Linked DNA regions of Schizosaccharomyces pombe. Changing the gene in region 2 together with the main gene of any one other region gives a genetic interaction. Each region holds a gene or a part of one and is shown on either strand. Other genes may lie near its edges.

What was found.
Region 1: mutations in cwf21 (region 2) and sum2 together harm fitness more than expected from each alone (negative genetic interaction), as found in Schizosaccharomyces pombe (2 studies listed by BioGRID).

Annotation. Positions count from the first base shown.
Region 1 is NC_003423.3:265,284-270,040, reverse strand, and holds sum2 (translation initiation inhibitor), read right to left. Parts: upstream 2,586-4,757; 5' UTR 2,552-2,585; coding exon 2,499-2,551; exon of another isoform or gene 2,461-2,498; coding exon 2,402-2,460; exon of another isoform or gene 2,364-2,401; coding exon 2,182-2,363; exon of another isoform or gene 2,074-2,181; coding exon 1,087-2,073; 3' UTR 633-1,086; downstream 1-632. Other genes in the region: SPOM_SPBC800.14C (uncharacterized protein), read left to right, coding at 1-334; trm6 (translation initiation factor eIF-3 gamma subunit Gcd10), read right to left, coding at 3,143-4,436, 4,573-4,667. UniProt on the Schizosaccharomyces pombe protein: Required for G2/M phase checkpoint control.
Region 2 is NC_003424.3:2,561,841-2,566,105, forward strand, and holds cwf21 (protein Cwf21), read right to left. Parts: upstream 2,411-4,265; 5' UTR 2,124-2,410; coding exon 2,121-2,123; exon of another isoform or gene 2,050-2,120; coding exon 1,171-2,049; 3' UTR 637-1,170; downstream 1-636. Other genes in the region: rog1 (lipase), read left to right, coding at 2,439-2,466, 2,631-4,265. UniProt on the Schizosaccharomyces pombe protein: Involved in pre-mRNA splicing. May function at or prior to the first catalytic step of splicing at the catalytic center of the spliceosome. May do so by stabilizing the catalytic center or the position of the RNA substrate.

The DNA.
Region 1 (4,757 bases), on a different chromosome or scaffold from region 2:
TATGGGCAAAAAGAGCTTCCCATTTTTAGCCATTGCCAATGCTCTGGTTCAGGGCTATTTGTCTTATTCGGAACGGAAGAGAAGTATATTCTCTTCAAAATTGTATGCTATATCGGCTTTATCTGGACTATGTATTATTCCTTTCACGCTTTTGTTTATGAAAAAGGACATTAACTCTTTACAAACGTTAAATCCAGATCTAATACTTAAAGATGTAAAGGCTACTCAAAATTTCCGCAGTATAATTCACAGATGGGGTTTTAAAAACTTATTTCGAAGCGCATTTATGTTTTTCTCTGGTTTAGCTTCAATCGCTGGATCAATTTACTTTTGATAACAAAACATAATTGTAATGTATCGTTTACGTGTTAACTCTTGCGTTCCGATATTCGTTGATGATCAAATAATATTAAGTTCTAATTTTTCTACTGCTGATTATTAAAACACTATATCACGTAGTTAAGTTCGTGAAATTTAAACTATTAAAAAATGCTAAAATTAAGAGAGCACATTTTTATTTTTAAAACGATTCGCTTATAAATTGTTCATACTGCTCAAACATTGTTGTTTGGATTCTATAGTTTGTCAGCTTCAAACAAGTCGACTGAATCAAATTTTTACAAAACGCTTTTCAAAAACGAAACGACTGTTGAAAAACACGGGTTGTTCAATGTTCAGTCATGCAACCAGCGATGCTTTGGGTCTATCAAGGTGTATAAAAGAATAAACATTAGCGGATTGGTTAAGTCTTCAACCTTTTGGTAATTATATGTAACCCATTAACATTTATTCGTAATACCTTTACGAAATCTCGGTATAGGATATCGTTTCAATGCTTGTTCTTCTTGCGTAATACATGAGCAGATAAGTATAGTTTTTAAAGCACTCTACAAGAACTTAACAAAACTCCTAAGTTAAATATCAAATAACAACGACTAATCCTTTTGGTTTATATAAGAGAACACCTTTTTTCGGGTCGTTAAATACATGTCCATAAATTTTGAGTTCATCATGATTGAAACGAAGACGAAGCTCAATCTAGAGAAACGAGGATACTTCATCTGTACTCATTATAAGAAATGCAGTTCATTGGTCGTTTGCAGGCTGGGCTCTAGGTTGAGAGCCATTGGAATTCCTGTATTGGTTATATTGATTTCTTGCATATCCACGTCCACGACCTCTACCACCACGTCCACGACCACGTCCACGACGGCCGCGATTTCCAGAGCCAGCAACGCCAAATGTCTCCATGTTCAAAGAACGTTCGCGATCTCGTAGAGCTCTTCTATCTGCAGCTTCCATACCCTTCTCTTTACTTTCACAACTAATATTATCAAAAAAAGATTGCTTAGGCTTGTAAAATTCTTCGGCTTCTTCATCATTTTTTCCTTTTAACAAATCATCTTTCATCGATTGAAACTTTTGATTTGCAGTTTGAAAGTCAAATTCGGTACGAGGCTTTGCAGCACTAGCATCAGGTTGAGTTGTAGGAACTTCTTTAGAAGGTCCAGATGTTTCAACGGTTTGGGATTGAGAGACATCCACAGTAGTATTCACAACACGGTCATTTGTGACAGTGGAATTCCGTATACTAGTACTTTCTTTTTCAATAGATGCTTCAATGGAGGGCTGTGCACCTGGTATCACTCCATTCGTGGGCGGCATGGATTGAAGAGACGGAGATGCAGATACCGCGGTAGGACCAGGAGCAGGCATGCCCGGAGCAAAGTTGGGAGGCTTCTGGTTTGAAGGCATTCCGTATCCAGGACGTACGTTGTACGGGGCCTGACCGGCAAACCCTTGAGAAACATTTTGAGCAAACTCAGGACGTTGACCCATTTGCTGTTGATCAGGTGCCCCATAATACGGGACCGCAGGTGTGGATGCGTCTAAGGGAGTACCCAAAGGCAAACCTCCAGGAGGTACAAATTGAGCGGGAGCATTCGGGTACATATAGTAAGGTGCACCTGCTGGAGGAGCCTGTTGGTATGGAGCTCCATAAGGGTTAGGTTGAACAGGCTGAGGAGGTTGGGCAGTCTGCGCTTGGTTCCAATTATACTGCCCGCTATTAGACTAATTATAGTTAAAATCATGATCTTGTCAGATATATAAAGAGTGCCAAAGATAATTAATACTAGATATACTAATGAGAATCTCCACCACTCTTTAGACGTAACATACCCCAATAATTGCAGGATCATTAGGAGGTTGAACCGGGGGAGCAGAAGGAGTAGTAGCAGGTTCCTCAATCCGTAAATCTTTAACATCGCTTCCACGAAAAACAATGTAATCAAATACATTATCTGATGGGGGGATTTCTTGAGAGGGATCTTGTTTTCTTCCTTCAGTACCACACCAACGGACTAAACTGTTAGTAATCAATGCTGGGTACTCAACCTACCATGCTTCAAAGCCAGTGTTGAGTCCTGGGAATTGATGTCCTGCAAAATGCCCACATAACTAAATATTAGTAAAGGAAAGATAATGCTCTCACGTACCGAATGTCAGATTTGCTAATTAGACTAATACGAGAACCAATAAATTCAGTCATTGGTTATAAACTCGACGAAGTAAAGCTTAGTGGTGAAAGGAGCGTGGTTAGGTGTCCTTTCGAAATTAACGAACTTGGCGATAGCGCTAGTATGGGGTTCATTATACCGAGTAAATAAGACCAAAATGCGACATTGTCATTTATAAGCTGTTTTTTCATCAGTTTTTATATTTATTTAAAATTAACATGCTTAAGATCAAAAAGGCTATCCACAGCTGCTCTGACCATGTACTACTTATTTTACTTAAATACGTATATGTGCAGCAGTCAAATTGTAACTAATTTTATACTTATTACAAGTAATCTATTTTTAAAAAGAATGAAAATGCCAAGCAAAAGACACTGTACTTTAACGCTCTTCAAAATTGAGTTAACCTGAAACCGCACCGTCAATTACATTATCCAACTAACATATTCATTTTCTGATACGTATGAAAATTTTAAGTTAAAGAATGAAACAAAAAACTTTTTAATATAACAAAAACCTTTTCCCAATTCAACGTAACTGAGTTTATGTCCAAAATTGTAACTCCCCTTGTTGATCTAATAGAGTAGCCTTGAAAAAAATATTCCAAAAGTAATATTTCATATCTAATTTTCCAATTTTGCTTTTTTGACAGAAGAAGTTTCTTTCTGGCCCTTACGTTTTGGAAACCTTCCGGCAGCTAGATTGCTGTCAGAAGTTAACACCTTGATCCCAGATAAAACGAAACCCATATCACCCCTAACAGTCATGAATGGATGAGTCCTTTCTGGCAAGACTTGGTAAGGTCGTGTACGAATCTCATGAATATCCAGCATGATGACTTTCTCTTTCTGTGTATCAATAGCAACGTCTCCTTGATCAACCTTTTCGTCATTTTCAGTACTTTGAGCTGTCTTTTCTACAAATAAGTTATCCCATTTAGATAATTGATGATACGTCTCGACTAAGACTTGCTGATATGTTGAGTATACCATGAAAGGACGTGATATACCGAGCTTTGGAAGAAGATGTTGAAGAACAGACATTGGGGTGTGAATAGATAGTATAAAGAGAGCATCATAGTTACCACTTTCAAAATCATCAATAGTATTCTTCAAACGGTTAAATGTAGCTTTCTTCGTTTCATAGCGCTTACGGTGGCGAAGTTTCATCTCATTCAACTCTGATTCAGGAATATCTTCAACCGAATACTCACTTAAAGTCTCGGTTGGATTCGTAACTTGATACCAATTCAAAGTTTTCAAAATCCCTTTTTGAACCAAACTATCCTCTTTAAAGTCTTGCCCCCAATACTCTAAACAAGAGCTATTAGGTTGCTCATTTGGATGGACCAGGGTTATTTTGCAATCACCAGCAACACGGTCAATAAGAGAACCAAGGAACATGCATCCAGTCTCATCAACTACCAAATATCTACCCCCAGGTTTAACATTTCCAAGAGTAAGCATCAAGCTTATACACTCGGCAGTAAGATCAAGTATCTTATACGGATCATGTTCAATCATGTAATTAGCCACAACTTCAACACAAGGTCGTAAAACCTGAAAGCGTTGAAGATACTTTTCCCCTTTTCTCGTAACATATTTCTCCTGAGCAAATAAAGTTTTTTGCTCAAAAGTTTTACTACTATTAGTCAACTGTTTGATGGCCTCTTCAGCACGAAGTCCACCAGCTTTAATGTTTGCGCGCAGTTCATCAATCTCCTCTTGAGTCATAAGCTGATTGCCTCGACAATCATTAAGTTCTTGATTCGTTTTCTTTTCTTCCTCGATATACTGTACCTCCCTTGTTTTTAAAACTCGAATTTTTTTGGGTTGATAAATTTCAAAAGTTTCGTCAAAATGCTTTCCAAACAAATCATCAGCGAGAAATGAACCAAATTTTCCGAGGTGAATTGTACTATTTAATATAAAGTCAGTAAGATCAATATGAACGAGATAAACTAGATCACCTCTATCTCCTTATGCAAAAAACAATTTCAATTGCTATCATTGAAAATGTACTTTAAATTGTAAATTAAGATCCTCATACTTACTTGTTTGGTTTCAATGTTACAAAACGAACATTGTCTGAAGGAAGCTTGATGAAAACGCTGCTGTTTTCGGAAATAGTTGATGCATGCCTCAGCATATTGTTCTTGGCAGTCCTCAGCAGTTGTGTCACGGCCTAAGCAATTTACATGATACATTCAAAATAGAATTATTCATGCTTAATGTTGTT
Region 2 (4,265 bases):
ACGTTAAAGTGAAATACGAGCTCACTGTTCCTACCCATTGATGCTGCCAATTCGTATAATATGCTATATGAACCTACATCTAGTCAATTGCTTTGTGAACAAAGCTTGGTATATTGGCGATAGTAACAAACAAGCTAGTCGAAAATTTTTAACTAGTTTTTAATTCAGATTTCGATAGAGTAATCGCGTTAAATATATTTACCTGTCCAATAAAAAATTTCGATGAAAAAATGTTTTTTTTCTTTTCAATTATCTACAGAAAACTAATTAATTAATGCTTTGCGACTTAGCAAGAAGTTGTAATACGTGTTTAATGTACTGTAGTATCTAGGAAATTGAAAGTTATATGAAACAATAGATATTTATTTTAAAAAAGTTAAAGCGATTGGAAATCAAGATTTGAATGTATGATTAATTTTGTTTAGAAAAAAAAATGGGTTTTCTCTCAATGTCGCAGTGTCATCCTTGTGCAGGGGCCATGCTCTAAACAACGAGTTAGTATGACTCGAACCTTGGTAAATATTGTTACTTACAATCTTCTCTGTATCGTTTCAATTTGACCAAAGTGATCCGAAGATCATCAGAAAATAAAAATTGTATTATTTATAATTAAACTTATATTATAATTTTTTTTATAAATTGGTTTTATTATATAATTAATATTGCTTTAAAGCAAGTTCATTTTGTAAAATATATATAATAAACATTATTGGTATAAAAGCTCTGAGATTTACAGTATGCAGGAAAACAAAGCCGCCAAGAGCTACTTTGACTAAAATCGCGTGAATAATCTCGAAAATCTTTATTAAAAAGATTCTTTTATGCTTAATTAATGAATTTAAAATACAAATGTAAAAGCGTAATTGTAAATTTAAAATTGCTTCATTATCCCTCCGTGAAAAAGAAAAATATCAAATGATGTTTAAATCGTGCAACTTAACAGCCTTAATATAAAGTCGATAGTATTTTTTCTTTGAAGAATAATATTTTTTATATCATTGAACAGTCGTGTGCTTCATGGGATTTGACTAACGTGTATTGCTAACCAAATATTCATATTAATCCAACGATTGTTGATGACCCGAATAATTATCCAATATTAATAAACAATACATGCTTGCATGAATTGCCTATTATATTATTGTTTTAACTGGCCTAACTCTTTGGGCCTCATACAATTTCGCCACCCTCAGGAGAGGAATCCCTGTCCACAACAGGAATTGACTCATTCTTCGTATAGGAGGGTGAATTGCTTCTTTCTCTCCTTCTATGATAAGAATACCTTTCCCGTTCATCGTGTCTATTATAATCTCTTCTGGGTAATTCAGAACGCCTTGAGTAACTTTCATTACTACTCCGTCGTCTTTCTAATTCATCGTAGGAGGAATACGAATCGTAATGTCTTCTTCTATTTTCATTGTAATTGTCCACATGCCTTTTTGAATTTAATGATTTCCTCTCGGAATAACGCGGGTAATCATAATAATCATCGTCAACTGATGATCTCAAATCGTCTCTTTCTTCTAATCGCCCATCATCGTCATTTTTCGAGTGAAATCCTCTTGTTTCTTTTCTTTTCTGAGGTTGAAGAATGGATTCAAAATTTTTTCCTTTTTCAGTAGATTTTTGTAATTGCAATTCTTTAAGTAACTGTTCTCGATATTTTTGTACTAAAATTTCTACATCAGCTTCATCTAAAGATTTAGTTTTCGATTGTGATTGCTCATCTTTTATAATTGCTTTAGGTGGCTTCGGGTTTTCAGTCCCAAAATTTGTATTGGAATCAGATGCCGCTGCATCAGTGCTGTGTTGGGAACTGACCTCCTCCAACAACTGCTCTCTGTACAACAACAACTTCGACTCAATTTGTCGACGGCATTCATGCTCGCTTATTGAAGGATCTTGAACCCGTTTTTCCAGAGCTTTTGCATTTCGATTTGACTGTAGATTTGTATTTTTGTCATATTTTTTTACGTGAGACAGATTCCGCATTACGTATCCATTTGTTCCTGATCCTCTTGGAGTGGGTAATCCAATTCCATTATACGACTTTAATTGTTAGCAAAGGACTCAATTTTGGTGTCTTCTTCATTAAAGAAAGCTTTTTATGCATCTCTTACCATCTTGCTTTATTTCCCGTGAAGTCGTTCGATTTTTGCTTTTGCTCAAAAATTAGAAAAACTGAGTTTATATAGGTTCGTCGAACAGCTAGTCTAACAAAGGAATCGAGCGAACAAATTTTACCGGTAGGACACTGATAAATTCGCGTTACTTTTTACGTGATATGAGCAACTAGCGATTTACTAATTGAAACAGATAAAATTTTATCCCTATTCGTTGACCGGTATTGAAAAATAATTGATATCTCTCACCTTTCACGAATAGCTAATTTTCAGATTTACTAGTTTTTGAGTTGTCATCGCTTGACTTCTGACATTATGAATGTATATGTACAACGAGATGACGGTAAGTTACTTTAAACAAAATTTACCACTCCTTTAAATTGTATTTGCAAGTTGATATTATCAGCTCGTTATTTAAAGTTTCGATTTGTTATGCTTGTTTCGATGCAAAAATTTTGGGATGGCATATAAATATTTAATACTTGTTCTAACATTGGCATGGTACAGTTGGTTTAGGTCAAATACATCGATTTCGAATTTTTGTGCAGAGTGGGGGCAATTTGCATTCGGCAACGTCTTCTACAACTGTGCCCCCCACTGTGAACCTCAATTCAGTGACTAAGAAAGAGAGTGGTAGCATCGAGGATAGAGCAGGTTCAGGTGGGATGACAATCTCTAGTGGGGAGAATATCAGCAAGCAAATCTCAGAGAATAATAGTAGCACGAATCCGAAGCATGCAAATTCAGAATCCTCACCTCTTCTTTCCAGCGATTTTTCATCTTCTTCAAAAGATTATCATAAAGTTGGTGCGTTTACAGATAATACCAATGCAATCAACATACCTGAACAAACAAGAGGTGTCTCTCATACCTCTTCTTCTCCTTCTGTAGGTACTTCATTCTCTTCTATTAATCTTCGTGAAGTAAAAAATCCCTTGGCAGGAAGCGACTCTACAGCTCCCTTCATAAATTCGACTAACTCGGTACTTTGGATTCGTGTCAGGAATAGAGAAGCACGTTTCCGCCAGGCAGCCTATCTTCAAGGTCCATTTACATTATGCGTTAGCGTTTGGAATGACCAATTTTTTGATGAAAAAAATTCTTTATTAAACTTTGATCCTCAGGTACAGCCCTCTACTAGTTTTTGGGTCTGTGTACCTTATTCATGTTTTTCCAATCAGCAGCCTATTTACATTGAAATTGCAAGTCAGGCGATTTTTAAAGATAGATCTATTAACTTTGAGCTTGCTATATCGCAATCTCAACATTCCATTCGAGCCATGTCAGCTGCTGATATCGATACTCTTCATGCATTCCCTGCTCTACACGTTGAACATCAAACTCCGGAAAATTTATGGCGTCTTCCGTATTCTTCATTTCATTCAAAGAATTCACATTTGGTGGTGCTAACTCATGGAATGCATTCTAATGTTGGTGCTGATATGGAGTATTTAAAAGAAAAACTAATAGAATCATCAAAATCTGTTAAGGAACTAGTAGTTGTTCGAGGATTTACCGGTAACTACTGTCAGACTGAGAAAGGGGTTCGCTGGCTGGGTAAACGACTTGGTGAATGGCTGTTGGATATTACGGGCTGGGGAAGTGCATCTTTTCCTCGATATTCCCATATATCAGTTGTCGCCCACTCACTTGGTGGATTGGTTCAAACATATGCTGTTGGTTATGTACATGCAAAAACGCACGGTGCCTTTTTTCAGGCTATTCACCCTGTGTTTTTTGTAACTTTGGCAACTCCTTGGCTCGGTGTTGCTGGTGAACATCCTTCTTATATTGGTAAGGCTTTGTCCTATGGTATCATTGGTAAGACAGGACAAGACTTATCTTTAACTCCACTGAATCACTCCATTGAATCAAGACCTTTCCTTGTTTTGATGTCTGATCCTTCCACGCCTTTCTTTCAAGCTGTTTCGTTTTTTGAAAAAAGAATATTATTTGCAAATACTACCAATGACTATATCGTCCCTTTTGGAACTAGCGCAATGGAAGTTAGTTCTTTGGGTAAGGTAGAGGAAGCTGAGGGTTCAGATAAGGTTATGCCTACGCATATGGAAAATGGCATTTCACCAACACTAAAAGAAAATGAGCAAACAGTTCAAAGTGTCGGAGATAATGCAAAGAAAA